Macaca mulatta: one gene and its partners. The protein of the gene in region 1 purifies or fractionates together with the protein of each later gene. This does not show direct contact. Links are inferred from orthologs where the notes say so. Each region holds a gene or a part of one and is shown on either strand. Other genes may lie near its edges.

Region 1 (4,148 bases):
TTTCACTGGATTGTAAGGAAGAATAAACAAGATAATGAATAGTATTTGGCATAAAATCTTTCAGAAAAGTAGTAAAATTGTCATTCCTATAAATCTAACTAATGTCTTTAAAATTTATCTCACAAAACCAGTATATTTTTATTTTGTACTGAGCTATTTATTTTACCCAAATTGGGAGTTTAAAAAGAAATTCATTACTTATTTTCGAAAGGAAAATTTACCATCAAGTATAGTAAAATTTTTTTTAAAGCAGCGTTAAAAAAAAAAAAAAAGAAAGATGAGAAGCACTGGTACAGATAGTTGGAAATGTCATTTAGATTTAAATCTACAGCTTCTTAGGAAAGTTAGTTAGAGGTGTATCGCACTCCAGTATGGCTATGAGCAGATGAGCAAAACTTGCACAAGTAAGCGTGGTAAACACCAGAGAAGGCGCTTTCATGGAAGGACACCCTAGGTAACCAAGCAGTGACAATAGTACAGGTGAGTCCTCGGGTACCTTCTCTCTCCACCCCCGGCAGTGGCCCGGACAAGCACTAACCTCTCCTCTCTAGAGCCTTCCCTTTATACTAGCTCCACAACCATCAAGTCCCACCATCTGCGAAGGGAATGGTGCTACAGGTAAGGCTGGCGGGGTCAGAGGATGCCGAGACCTCTTGTCAATTCTTCGCTCGCCCCCAAACGAGGATCACGGCTGCGCGGCTCTCACTCTACCAAGAAAGATTCTGATACTAAACAAGGCTAAAACTTTTTGTTTTTTCCTTCTTACAGAAGGCACTACCTTGGACGCCGCCTGCAAACGCCTGAAGAGAAGGCAGGGTGTTTCCACTTTTTCAGAATGGGGCCAGGCCCTACGGCCCCAATAGCAGAAGCTTCTCTAACCCAGACTGCTGCCCTCAACTCCTCCTGATACGCTGACCCACAGCTCGACCTCACCTGGAAGCGGTTCCGCCAGGGGATGGCTTAGGAAAACCTCATGAAGAGCGGCCCAGCGAGTGACGCCACTAAAGCCACAGTCATGGTCTACCTCGTTCAGGCCACCAGCTCGTAGGCGCCTCAGCCACTGCGCCTCCCGCCTCTCGGTCCTTCCCCGCCGCCCCGGTACCGTCGCAGCCTTCCGCGTTGCACGCCGGGAGCGCCTTATCTCCTCTTCTCAGGGACTTCAGTTCCCAGCATGCACAAACCTCAGGCACATCTGCACTCTGGGATTTGGAGTCCTCGTTCCACGCCTTCTCATCATCCTGAACACCGAGTCCTGGGACTCCGGCGGAGAATCTAAACGTAAAGCATCACCCACGGTCGTGAATTGTAGGCTCTCTTTGCATCCGGGATCTTCTTCTGGCCCCGGCGGAGTTAGGGATGGTGTCGCTTAGCAGCCGCTGCCGCTTTGGCTTCCTTGGGGACCATTTGGCTGGACCCAGAGTCCGCGTGGAACCGCGATAGGGATCTGTCCAGCTTGGTGGTTGTGGTAGTGAGGGACCTCCGCTGGTTGCCAGGCTTGGTGTAGGTGGGTGGATCCCTGTAAGCAGGATCAGCGAGTCACTCCACGTTCAGGTTCTTTAGCCTTAGGGCCCGTGTGCCGCAGCGCAGCTACCCCGTCCCTTCCAGCCTCGGGTCCGTAATCCTGCCTTACTTCGGTTCCGGTTTCCGCCGCACAACTTCACTCATTCCAATTGTTAATTTCTGCTTCTTTTTTTTTTTTTTTTTCCAGCCCCAATTCTGCTTCTCCAAATCAAGGATCATTGTCAGCCTTCCACAGACCCTCGCGCTTGCCAAGATTAGGGTGTTCGCGCGCGTTGTGGGTAGGCGGTGTGGAGGAAGGGACCCAGAAATCTTAGTCCTAACTTATATTAGTGTTAGCAAGGAAGCCGTCACATTTTATTTAGCCGGTACACTCTCTGACAGTTTGTGCCGACTGCTATTTTTGATCAAGGCTATTTTGCCCACTTGTCTGTTTTGTGGCTAAGGCATAGTTCTTTGCTAACATAAGAAAGTTATAATGAAATAATCTGCAAAAAATGTAGGCTATTAGAAAACCAATAATGCTGTGTACCTTGAAAATGCTAATATCCACCTGTTTTGTTACAGAGGTGGAGCACAGTGAAAGAATTCAAGATGCCACCTAATATAAACTGGAAAGAAATAATGAAAGTTGACCCAGATGACCTGCCCCGTCAAGAAGAACTGGCAGATAATTTATTGATTTCCTTATCCAAGGTGCTTACTTGGTCAATAATAATAGATATATACATTAACTTATGATTATTAATAAAATATGAATTTTTTTTTCAGAAACAACTATTAATTGTCACAATCTGGAAGAGTTCTTATATTTTGCTTAAAGGTTATAAAATATAAAACAGTTGCTTTTCTGTTTACTTAGGTGGAAGTAAATGAGCTAAAAAGTGAAAAGCAAGAAAATGTGATACACCTTTTCAGAATTACTCAGTCACTAATGAAGGTTTGTATGTAGTAGGTTTTAATGATAGGTTTGGCTATTAGAGGAACTATAAAAATCTGTTCTTATATAAAGTAATCTTTGTGAAAATACTTGGTAATATCTACATCACCCCTCAAAAGTGCAATATATTTAAATGTAGATTAAGTATTTTAGTATGTAAAACATTGCTAGTTTCTACTTAAAGTTTCTAAAAGGGTATGTAGGGGAAATAGAATGAGTATGTTGAAAAATAACATAAGGAAATATATCCTGAGGTCCAAATGACAAATGCAGACAATGACTGCTATAGGGATTTGTTAAGAGGGGAAGTGATCTAAGAGGTGTCAGAAGACTTCACAGAGGATGAATACTGAGGAGTAGTTTTAGGTAAGTGGAAGGTAATGCAGTGGTAAGATAGTAAGGGAATTCTAGAGCTGTTGGTTACCATAAATAAATATTGAGGATAGGAAATAAGTTTATTCTTTACATTTGAGGAAATGCGGTGCAGCAAGTTTGTAGCAGGCTGTAGAGAAAACAAATCTTGGGTAGGTACTTTGAGATAGGTTCTTGAGGTCATTAAAGGTGTATTTTATGCTGTCAGCAATTGAGAAGGCGTTTTCGAACCACAGTTGATAGGTACAAAAATAGGCCTTAGGAAGGCAAAACTGAGTCTATTATATAGGACAAACTGAAGGAAATCGGAGCTTTGCAAACATCACATTATAGAGGAGTTTAAACCTGAAATTATGCATTAGAATAATAGCAATTGGAACAGAAAAAAAGTAGTGGAAAAACATTACAAAGAGATATGTTGCTTTACTGGATATAAGACTTGAGGACTTGAGGTAAAAGGGAGAATCAAAAATGTTTCATGCTATTAAAAATCTAGAAATTGTCGTCTTAAGTAAGAAAATTGCCTGGCATGGTGGCTCACGTCTATAATCCCAGCACTTTGGGAGGCCAAGGCAGGAGGATTGCCTGAGGCTGGGAGTTGGAGACCAGCCTGGATAATATAGTGAGACCTTGCCTCTACGAAAAAATTTGCTGAGCATGATGGCACACCAAGCATGATGGCATGCCGAGCATGATGGCACGCTGAGCATAATGGCATGCACCTGTAGTCCCAGCTACTCAGGAGACTGAGATGGGAAGATTGCTTGAGCCCAGGAGGCAGAGGTTGCAGTAAGCTGAGATTGTGCCACTGCACTCCAGCCTGGGTGACAAAGTGAGGCCCTATTTCAAAAGCGAAAAAAAAGGAGAGAAAAAATTATTTATTCATTCAACAAATATTTACTGAAAGTCTCCATGTGCCAGCCATTGCTGGCACTAATGAGCATAAGAAAACAAAATTTTTATTTTCAGTGCTTACATTCCAGTTTAAAGGCATATTGAAATAAACTTTTTTTAAATGTTTAGATGAAAGCTCAAGAAGTAGAGCTGGCTTTGGAGGAAGTAGAAAAAGCTGGAGAAGAACAAGCAAAATTTGGTAAGCACCTTGGAAAAAGTTTATTATGTTATTAAATAATGAGTTCCATTTGTTCATTAAGCTGTAGAAAATTAAATTCTATAAACTGTATATATTCAATTTATTTTTAATATATAACATTTATTTAATAATACATATTTCTAGACTCCTGTTTTATGGATCTGCCGTATAATACTTTTTGTTACCTTATAATCATGATGGACTCTTTTAAAAGAATTAATTTTG
Region 2 (2,338 bases), on another chromosome or scaffold:
GCCTGGGTGACAGAGCAAGACTCCGTCTCAAAAAAAAAAAAAAAAAAAAAAAAACTTTGAAAACGTGCTCAATTTTAAAACAAAAATCAGTATGGAGTCACTCACATATGCTTGTTTTCTGTGGTCTCACATAATCTCTCATTTAGTCACATATATGCTGATTTTTTTATCACAATGAAAAGAAAGAAAAAAGGGTTTCAGAAGATAGAATCCATGAAGAGGCTAGTAATGAATCCTCTGACCACAGAAAATCAGTGATAGACTGCAAGATCACAATTTATCAGTATCGTAACAAAGAGGTATAATAAATTTTTTCTAAAATACCCAGTTCATTTTTACAATGAATCACACTGATAAATATTTCTAAATGATTCATGTACTTTCATATGAGGTTATTAATAGTCATGCTTTTCTGGTATTAGTTTTTTCCTATTCTTGCTTCAAGGTCCAACCTTAAATTTCTGGACAGTCTCAAATATCCCAAGGGCTAGGAATAAACCACAAAAGTGATAATTCATCAACATTTATTTTTACCAATGCAATAAATAAATCTGTCATGAAGTTAATTTCTCCTAATTTGTATAAAATAATCCCATTAACCTGTGAAAAGTAATGATCATATTGATTTTTCTAGGGCTCAAACCCTTAGACAAATCTCTCTTTGATTACCTGTTAGTGTAAAGAAAACTGAATGCATTTTATATTAATATTTAAACTACTGGTAACTGTAAACAAAGTAGCATTTATTAAAATAGAATATACACTTAATTTATACTAAATTCCAGGGAGATTTATACAAGTTTTTCAGCCTTAATTTTTAAAGGAACACATGATTTTTTTTTAAACATTACCAGTCAATTATATACAAAATTGAAACATGCCATTCAAGCCAGATTGTGATTTTAAAATAACAAACCTCTAAATAGCTAAGTAATGTACAATGTGTAAAATTCTAATTACACACAGGTATAATTCTTACATAAATATTGGCCCTATAATACCGAGCGATATTTACAAGCAAACATGATCCAAACAGCACATGCAGATTCAGGGTAAGTAAACACTCGGACACGAACTGCCAGTCGCACTTGGTCTCCACGGCAACAGATTATTTCTTCACAGAAAGGAGATCTATTTAAGAAAAAAAAATTATTCAATTAAGAAGTGACCATACACTTTACTTTCTTATTTGCAAGTAAATCAGTATTTCAAATAATTTTTTCAGGCTAGGCATGGTGGCTCATGCCTGTAATCTCAGCACTTTGGGAGGCCGAGACAGGTGGATCACCTGAGGTCAGGAGTTCAAGACCAGCTTGGCCAACATAGTGAAACCCCATCTCTACTAAAAATTACAAAAATTAGCCAGATATGGTGGCAGGTGTCTGTAATCCCAGCTACTTGGGAGGCTGAGGCAGGAGAATCACTTGAATCCGGGAGGCAGAGGTTGCAGTGAGCCAAGATTGTGCCACTGCACTCTAGCCTGGGTGACAGACTGAGACTCCATCTCAAAAATAAATAAATAAAATAATTTTTTCAAATTCTGTCTCTGCTATCAAAGACACTATAATTTTGGTCAAGCTATTCAAATTACAGACTATTTCCTTATAGTCCAAACAAAATCAGAGATACCTGAGACTACACCAAAATCACTGGGAAAATCATCCCAGACTATCTAGGGCTACATTTCAGACCAAATGAATCAAAATCTGTGGCAAGGAGGGTAAGTCACTGAAAAGCTCCCATGTGACTCAGATGTCATTCCTAAATAACTACCAGATTAGGCTGGGTGCAATGGCTCACACGTGCAATCCCAGCACTTTGGGAGGCCGAGGTGGGAAGACTGCTTGAGCCCAGGAGTTCAAGACCAGCCTGGGTAACATAGGAAGACCCCATCTCTACAAAATAAAGATTTAAAAAAAAATAGCCACATATGGTGGCACGTGCCTGTGGTCCCAGTTGCTTGGAAGAGTGAGGTGGAAGGATCACTTGGGCCCAGGAGGTCCAGGCTGCAGTGAGCCATAACTGTGCCACTATACTCCAGCATGGGCAGCAGAGCAAGACCTTGAGTTAAAAAAATAAAAAAAACCCTGCCAGACTGATCTCTAAGATTCCTAAACTGAAAAAAGGATTCCATAAATTACACCTTACCGAAGACATGTGGCAAATGCACGTCTTGCATTTCTATACACAAAATGTATTGGGAACCCTTTAAATGTGTGACCATCAGGCACAGCCCTTCTTATGGCATCTTGAAATTCTTCATTGCCTGCTGAAATACTTGTTGTACGCTCAAATTCATAAGACGCCAAAGCTGGTGATAAAAGGTAGGAGAGCTGGT
Region 3 (3,520 bases), on another chromosome or scaffold:
TTCCAGCCAGGCTGGGCACAGTGGCTCACGCCTGTAATCCCAGCACTTTGGGAGGCCAAGGCATGCGGATCACCTGAGGTCAGGAATTTGAGACCAGCCTGGCCTACATAGTGAAACCCTATCTGTACTGAAAATGAAAAAAAAAAAAAAAAATTAGCTGGGCATGTGGTGGGTTCCTGTAATCCCACCTACTCGGGAGGCTGAGGCAGGAGGATTACTTGAACCCGGGAGGCAGAGGTTGCAATGAGCCGAGATCGCGCCATTGCACTCCAGCCTAGGTGACAAGAGGGAGACTCCATCTTAAAAAAAAAAAAAAAAAAAAATTCCAGCCAGCAAGGTGACTCACACCTGTAATCCCAGAACTTTAGGAGGCTGAGGCAGGAGGATTGCTTGAGGCCAGGAGTTCAAGACCAGCCTGGGCAACACAGACTTCATTTCTTTAAAAAAAAACATTTTTAATTAGCTGGGCATGGTGGTGCACGCCTATAGTCCCAGCTACTTGGGAGCCTGAAGTGGGAGAATCACTTGAACCCAGGAGTTCAAGGTTATAGTGAGCTATGATCATGCCTCTACACTCCAGCCTCAGCGACAGGGCAAGACCCTGTCTCAAAAAAATATAAAATCTAAGATCTACCGTTATTACTCCCTCTCAAATATCTTCAGCTCTCTTGCCCTTCCCCCGCTCTCTCTACAATATCACCTAGGAAAAAAATCATTCCTGGCTGAACCAAATTAACCACACCTGAATCAGAACAGAACAGCTAAGAATTGCCGATGAAAATCATACATCCTGACCTATTATTTTACACTTTTAAGCATTTTCTCACATCATCCAGCAACCCTCCTCCATTTTCCTCATAAGGTCATCCTTAAGATGACTACCTCACACCTCATACTTCTTTCCTTACACCTCCTTCACCCCCTCCTCATTTTCAGGCGCTGACCACATCTTATACATTATTGAAAAAGCAGCAGCAGCAGACAGGACTTTTTCCCATCTCCCACCATCAAACCTACCACCTTACCTGCTCCTGCTCCCATCTGAGGCCACTTCCTCTACTTCAACACTGCATTTCTTCCTCTCTTACCTTCTCAAGAACTGCAATCCTGGCCGGGTGTGGTGGCTCATGCCTGTAATCCCAGCAGTTTGGGAGGCCGAGGCGGGTGGATCACAAGGTCAGGAGAACAAAACCATCCTGGCTAACACAGTGAAACCCCATCTCTACTAAAAATACACAAAATTAGCTGGGTGTGGTGGCAGGCGCCTGTAGTCCCAGCTACTCTGAAGGCTGAGGCAGGAGAATGGCCTGAACCTGGGAGGCGGAGCTTGCAGTGAGCCGAAATGGCGCCACTGCACTTCAGCCTAGGCAACAGAGCAGATTCTGTCTCAAAAAAAAAAAAAAGAACTGCAATCCTGCTCTTCCTCTTTTTTTTTTTTCTGCACCATCAGTTTTTCCCTCCTTATTTATTCATTCCATCAACACATGAACACACTCTGTATCTCTCATCTCCAAAAGAGAATGTTCCTTTAATCTAGATTTCTCCTCCAGATACCACTTAACTCTCTTTTTTCATGTTTTCCTCAAAACAACTCTTTCCAAGAATTGGCTACACTCATCCTTCAAACTCTTTACTTCTTATTCACTATTCAACCCATTCCAAAATGGCCTTCATCCCCCTACACCACTGAAGCTGCTCTTGGGAAGGTCATTGTGCAGTAAAGAGTTAACTCAGCAGGACTGGGATGTTCAAACACTGTACATTGCAAAGATAAGAAGACTGGTCCTTGACTGACTCCTGGGAGATGATCTCCAAGCCCTTGGAATATCCTGACTGAAATAGAATATCTTTATACACCTGGGGTCTTGGTCCACATTAGGTAGTTTAGGCAATCAATGATTTCTAGTCAACATCTGTTGTGTTCACCTGGGGTCCTGAGCCACAGAGTTATCAGTGTGACCTCTAAGTGGCCTGAGGTCTAAATAGTTAAGATCAGTTACATGGGTACTCATTACCTATGAGATTGGCCCACAATAAAAACCCTGGACATCAAAGATGAGGTAACTTTTGCCAGTTGGCAATACTTCATATGTGTTATCATACATCATTGCTGAGAGAATTAAGCCCTGTCTGTACAACACTGGGAGAGAACAACTGGAAGCTTGCACCTCATCTCTCCTGGACTCTGCCCTAGGCACCTTTTTTCTTTACTGGTTCTAATCTGTATCCTTTTGCTGTAATGAACTATAATGACAAACAGAATAATATTTTCCCAAGTTCTGTGAGTCCTTTTAGCAAATCACCCAACCTGAGGATAGTCTGGAGAATCACCAATACAGTCACCAATAGTCTCCAACTGCCAAGTCTAATGCCTGTGTCCTCTCTATGGCACCTCCGATCTCTCCTGAAACAGTTTCTCCTGTTGAAGGTGGAACTCTCCTAGTTTTCCTACCACTCTGGCTGCCCTTTCTCAGTATCCTTTGCTGCCTCTTCCTCTTCTACCTGATAATACCAATAAATATTACTAGTCACAATATTAATGAAATCCTAACTTTCCTGGGTTAGCAGTCAGTAAAACATATGAGCCATGGGATTAAGGAATAATCCTATTGTAGTCCTATAGAATTTTAGCCCCTTCTGAATCCCTGCTATTAATTTTTATGTCATGTACTGAATTCCATGTAGACTTCATCATTTTCTCATTTTTATACTTAGTTTTTCAATGTTTTCTGTACCTTTCTATGTTTAGAATTACAGATCCCTATAAAGCTCACGTTCATTGAACATTTACCACTACACTGCATCTATGTATCAAGTCCTCTGCTGGGGATGGAGATGCAGCAGACAGAACAGATGGTCTCTGCTCTCCAGATGCTTTCAGTACACTGTAGGAGACAACCAAACCAACAGTGGCTACATGGTATGAAAAGTGTTATAATCACAGACGCACAGTGTTCTGAATCAACTGTAAGAATCTAACACCCTCAAACCAGCAAAACAGTACATCGAAAGGACTTATGACCCACCTCCTTATTTCATCAGTTAAGCAGACAATGTGCTCTTGCATTCTGCGTAGCCGGATTTCGTAACGCACATCTTTGGCTTGAGGGTTGTAGTTCCTGGCATAAAATCCCCGCCAACAGGCCTGAAGCTTGGTGGCTGCATCATTTAATTTCTGAAGGGCAACTTTGTCTTGTCCCAAAACAACAGATCTCTGGGTTAAAATCATGGGAACTTTCTCTGAAGTTGCTTGAGATATGGTTTCTTTATTTTCTGGTTGTGTATTTTCTGGTTTCTTTATGTCTGGTTGTTTCTGTCCAGCTGACTCAGGAAAAAATGTAAGACTGTGGTTATCATCCTTCAAGATAGTGCTGATTATTGTTGGCTCAGAACAAGGTAATAGTCCAGCTTTCTCATTTACCTCTGTATTGATTTCACTTCTCATCATTGGAACAGAATTCTCATTTGCAGCCCATAAAGGCTTTTCCTCTTCCTTATCCAACACCTGGCTTTCCAGCCC
Region 4 (3,520 bases), on another chromosome or scaffold:
TCTGGGGAGGAGAGGGAAGGTCAGAAGCCTGACAGCCAGGTGGTCTGGGCTGAGGGTGGCAGGCTGAAAGCCACATAGTCACCTTTACCCGGAGGCAGGCCCGAGCAGGCAGCGCCTTGGTCCTGGCCGTTGATGAAGTAGTGCAGATCGCCCTTGGCAGTTCGCATCATGCCAATGCGTGCACCTGTGCCCAGCGCATCCAGGTCACACCCGTAATTGTTGCGCATCGTGTTACCATCTTGCATGATGGCTGTACCACTGGGGGGATGGCAGAAGGGGTGAGTCAGCCTGCCAGCTTCAACTTCACATTGGCCCCCGCCCACTCCCTGCCTGTCAGAACCTTCCAATGCCTTGGGCTGGGGTCTTGATCTGGGTGTAAGGCCCAGTCCTATCTCGTTTGTCCCTGGGATCCCCTCAGGGAAAAGCAAGAACTACCTAAGATGAAGGAGGACTGAGCCCCTGTGGGCCTGAGCAGGGCTTCCCAGAATCCAAGAGAGGGGACAGGCAGATCCCCTAGGTCTGTCACTGCCCACAGCCACCATAGGCCGAAACCTTGCTTCCCTGATGCCAGCCAGCTCCACTCAGCCCCAAGCTGGCCCCCAAAGCAGGAAGCCCAACCTCAGCATCCATGTGTCATAGTCAATGTCTGTCATGGTGTTAGGGAATTCCAGGTCTTCAGGCCGAATAGCAGTCACTCCTGGTAGGAGGCAGAGGTAAGTCAAGGCCGATCCCCCAAGGCACAGACATCCAACGGCCCCCAACACACACAGACGCCCCTCACCAGCCTCAATGGAGCCTGACCAGCGGTCCACCATCTTCTGAATGACAATTTCAAACAGCTCTCCATCCCGCAGGGCCCTGCCAGGGAGACTGGTGATCAGAGAGGCTCCACTTGGGTGGCTGAGGCTGGGCAGGAGGAAGGTGGGGACATGAAAGTTGAGAGACTGACCGGTTGGAGATGACGATGGCGTCATTAAACTCGCTGCGACAGTTGTGGCGGAGGGCAGTGCGGCCCCCATTGGTGATGACTGCGTTACTGCCGTGCAGCTGGTGGAAACGCAGGTCAGAGCCCCCTGCCCCTGAGGATGGAGAGCTTGGAGACACCTGGTTATTCCCCTCAGGAAGTGATTCAGGAACTGGAGACACCTCTGTAAAAGTGGACATCATCACCCATTAGATCTCTAAGTGTCTCTCAGACCTCCCAAGGCCACCCTAACCCCCGGCCCCAGCCTAGCCCGGCCCTCACCCACGTCGTCCACAATGGTGGCCTGGGCCGCCTGGCCATAGAGATCGACGACAGCATAGACGCCCGGGGGCACGTTCCAGGCAGCAGGGCCCTGAGTCATCCCATTGACAAAGAAGTGGAGAGTCCCGTCCTCCCGCCGTACCACGCCCACCGTGTCCCCTGCCTTGGAAGAAGGGGGTGCTGGAGTGAGGAGTCAGGCAGAGTTCCTGCCGGGGCTGGTCCTGCATCAGCCCTGTGGTGTTTGTGATGCCCGCTGCGGCCGCCAGGCAGCACACCCACTTTCCCACCTTGAGGCGGTCCAGGTTGTGCCCGTATTCATCCAGGATGGTCGTCCCATTGTGCATCACCCCATTCCCAGTCATCATCCAGGTCCCTGGGAGGACAAGGAGCAGTAGAGGACATGAAGGGAAAGGAAGGGCTCCTCTCCTTTCCATAGCAGCCCCCACAGAACTCCTGAGCCCACAGCCCATCTTGCCTTTTCTTTGACGACTAGCTTTCTTCCCTGAGCAGGACAACAAAACTCTGCAGCTTCCAAGACAGCCACAGCCCTGCCCACGGGGCACTCTCTAGCCACTGAATGAGTGGTCACAAGAGTGACAAGTGAAAAAGAAGCTGGAGAACAAGTGCCAGGGCTTTGGGGACAGCTTCCCCCCAAAACCCTGTCCTGGCCCTGCCCTTGCTGGGAGCTCACCAGAGCGCAAGTTGGTCATGGTGGAGGGCAACTGGAGGTAGGCAGGGTTGTGGGTGGTGACACCAATTTCAATGGAGCCAGCCCATTTGTCCACCATCTTGTCGATGCGCACCTGGAACACCTCTCCATCCCGCAGGGCTCTGCTGCTCAGCACCACGCCATGATTGAAGTCATCGGTGGCACTGAGGGAACAGAAAGTGGAGAGTCAGATCCCCAACACACGCTCTCAACGTGCCAAGGCTTAGCCCAGCAATGCCTGCCAACATTCACGGCCCCAAGCCAAAGAACTCAACCTCAACCTCCACCCCGCCAGGCTGCCCCCGCCAGGCTCCCTCTGCCTTCTACTTCCGTGCCCTGGCCCCCTCCCATTAGAACCCCTTCTTCAGGCTTCTCCCCACCCCATGGGCCATACTGGGGCCTCAGGGCAGTGCGTCCCTCGTGGGTGATGGCTGCCTTCTGCCCACAGTTGGGGTGGAAGAGCAGGCGCTCAGGTTCTGCCTGAGCGGCAGGGGCAGCACGGCGGAGAGCGCCCTCGGGGGACAGCGCCCGCAGGATGGCGTTGTTGCGGCGGAGACGGTCACTGTGGTTGTTATTGTGGACGATGGTCACCTTCACAGCCATCCCGTACAAGTCCACCACGCCATACACCACTGGGGGCGTCAAGGGGGTTGCCACTCCTGTTGCAGGAAGGTTCGGGGGTGTGGGAGTGGGCAGGGAGAATGAGGGGAGAAAGTCAAACACGGAGACCAAGCACCAAAGAGAAGCAGGAGGATGAAGTACAGCCCCCAGTCCCAGCCTCACCGAAAGCCCCAGCCCAGAGGCCCTCTCTGAGCGACCCTTACCCTGATCGATACCATTAATGAAGAAGTGCAGGGCAGAGTTGGACTTCCTTGTGAGGCCAATGTGGTCACCCTCCTACTCAAAGAAGACGAATAGTTCAGAGGAGTCCCGAGGCCTGCCGAGCACCCCACTCCACACAGGAACAACTCCAGAAGGCATTCGCCAGTCTCAGACCATCCTGGAGGACGGGTCCTGGGTCCTTGTTTTCCAGACATGACAGTTTCTACATTTCCTCAATGCTCCACGTGAGTCAGGCACTGAGTTAAACCACCTCACAGACATCAGCTTCTACAAGTCTCAGCCTATGGAATGAGTACTACTTGTAGGCTCATTTTAGAGATTGCAGGGGCTGGGGGAGCAATGAAAGAGGATAAGCTTCTTGCCTCGGTTCGCCACTACAAATGGGAAAACAGTAAGAGGAATTCAACCATCTGACTCCAAAATCTGAGTGCTGAACTCTTGGGCAACTCTGCCTTCTCGGAAGGAACCTTTAGGTAGAAGATACAGGGACTGGCTCTAGGTCACACAGGAGACCCTGCTTGGTGCCCTGGCAGGGTCACAGAGTACCTGTGGCTCTGCTGGAAAGTGGTCCAAGGATCTGTGTGCCACCCTCACCTGCAGCTCATCCAGACTGAATTCGCAGTACTCCCGGCGGGTGCCCTTGCCATTGGTCAGGATCCCACAGCCGCTCATCATGATGGTGCCTGGGTGATGGTGGACACGCGGGTTCAAGTACGGGGCTT

Evidence for each region. The genes of interacting proteins can lie anywhere in the genome.
Region 2: the proteins of CEP290 (region 1) and CEP76 purify together in Homo sapiens (co-immunoprecipitation; 5 studies listed by BioGRID and IntAct, with this or other methods). This does not show direct contact. The link is inferred for Macaca mulatta from reciprocal best matches to the Homo sapiens genes CEP290 and CEP76.
Region 3: the proteins of CEP290 (region 1) and CEP97 purify together in Homo sapiens (co-immunoprecipitation; 4 studies listed by BioGRID and IntAct, with this or other methods). This does not show direct contact. The link is inferred for Macaca mulatta from reciprocal best matches to the Homo sapiens genes CEP290 and CEP97.
Region 4: the proteins of CEP290 (region 1) and NEURL4 purify together in Homo sapiens (affinity purification with mass spectrometry; 3 studies listed by BioGRID and IntAct, with this or other methods). This does not show direct contact. The link is inferred for Macaca mulatta from reciprocal best matches to the Homo sapiens genes CEP290 and NEURL4.

Annotation. Positions count from the first base shown.
Region 1 is NC_133416.1:95,386,583-95,390,730, reverse strand, and holds the start of CEP290 (centrosomal protein of 290 kDa), read left to right. Parts: upstream 1-1,329; 5' UTR 1,330-1,504; intron 1,505-1,609; exon of another isoform or gene 1,610-1,799; intron 1,800-2,085; 5' UTR 2,086-2,112; coding exon 2,113-2,214; intron 2,215-2,380; coding exon 2,381-2,458; intron 2,459-3,853; coding exon 3,854-3,923; intron 3,924-4,148. UniProt on the Homo sapiens protein: Involved in early and late steps in cilia formation. Its association with CCP110 is required for inhibition of primary cilia formation by CCP110.
Region 2 is NC_133423.1:83,348,658-83,350,995, forward strand, and holds the end of CEP76 (centrosomal protein of 76 kDa), read right to left. Parts: coding exon 2,149-2,338; intron 1,132-2,148; coding exon 993-1,131; 3' UTR 508-992; downstream 1-507. UniProt on the Homo sapiens protein: Centrosomal protein involved in regulation of centriole duplication. Required to limit centriole duplication to once per cell cycle by preventing centriole reduplication.
Region 3 is NC_133407.1:181,849,192-181,852,711, forward strand, and holds part of CEP97 (centrosomal protein of 97 kDa), read right to left. Parts: coding exon 3,027-3,520; intron 1-3,026. UniProt on the Homo sapiens protein: Acts as a key negative regulator of ciliogenesis in collaboration with CCP110 by capping the mother centriole thereby preventing cilia formation. Required for recruitment of CCP110 to the centrosome.
Region 4 is NC_133421.1:8,816,980-8,820,499, forward strand, and holds part of NEURL4 (neuralized-like protein 4), read right to left. Parts: intron 3,482-3,520; coding exon 3,393-3,481; intron 2,853-3,392; coding exon 2,780-2,852; intron 2,615-2,779; coding exon 2,350-2,614; intron 2,120-2,349; coding exon 1,938-2,119; intron 1,620-1,937; coding exon 1,534-1,619; intron 1,410-1,533; coding exon 1,247-1,409; intron 1,149-1,246; coding exon 950-1,148; intron 859-949; coding exon 782-858; intron 698-781; coding exon 619-697; intron 259-618; coding exon 83-258; intron 2-82; coding exon 1-1. UniProt on the Homo sapiens protein: Promotes CCP110 ubiquitination and proteasome-dependent degradation. By counteracting accumulation of CP110, maintains normal centriolar homeostasis and preventing formation of ectopic microtubular organizing centers.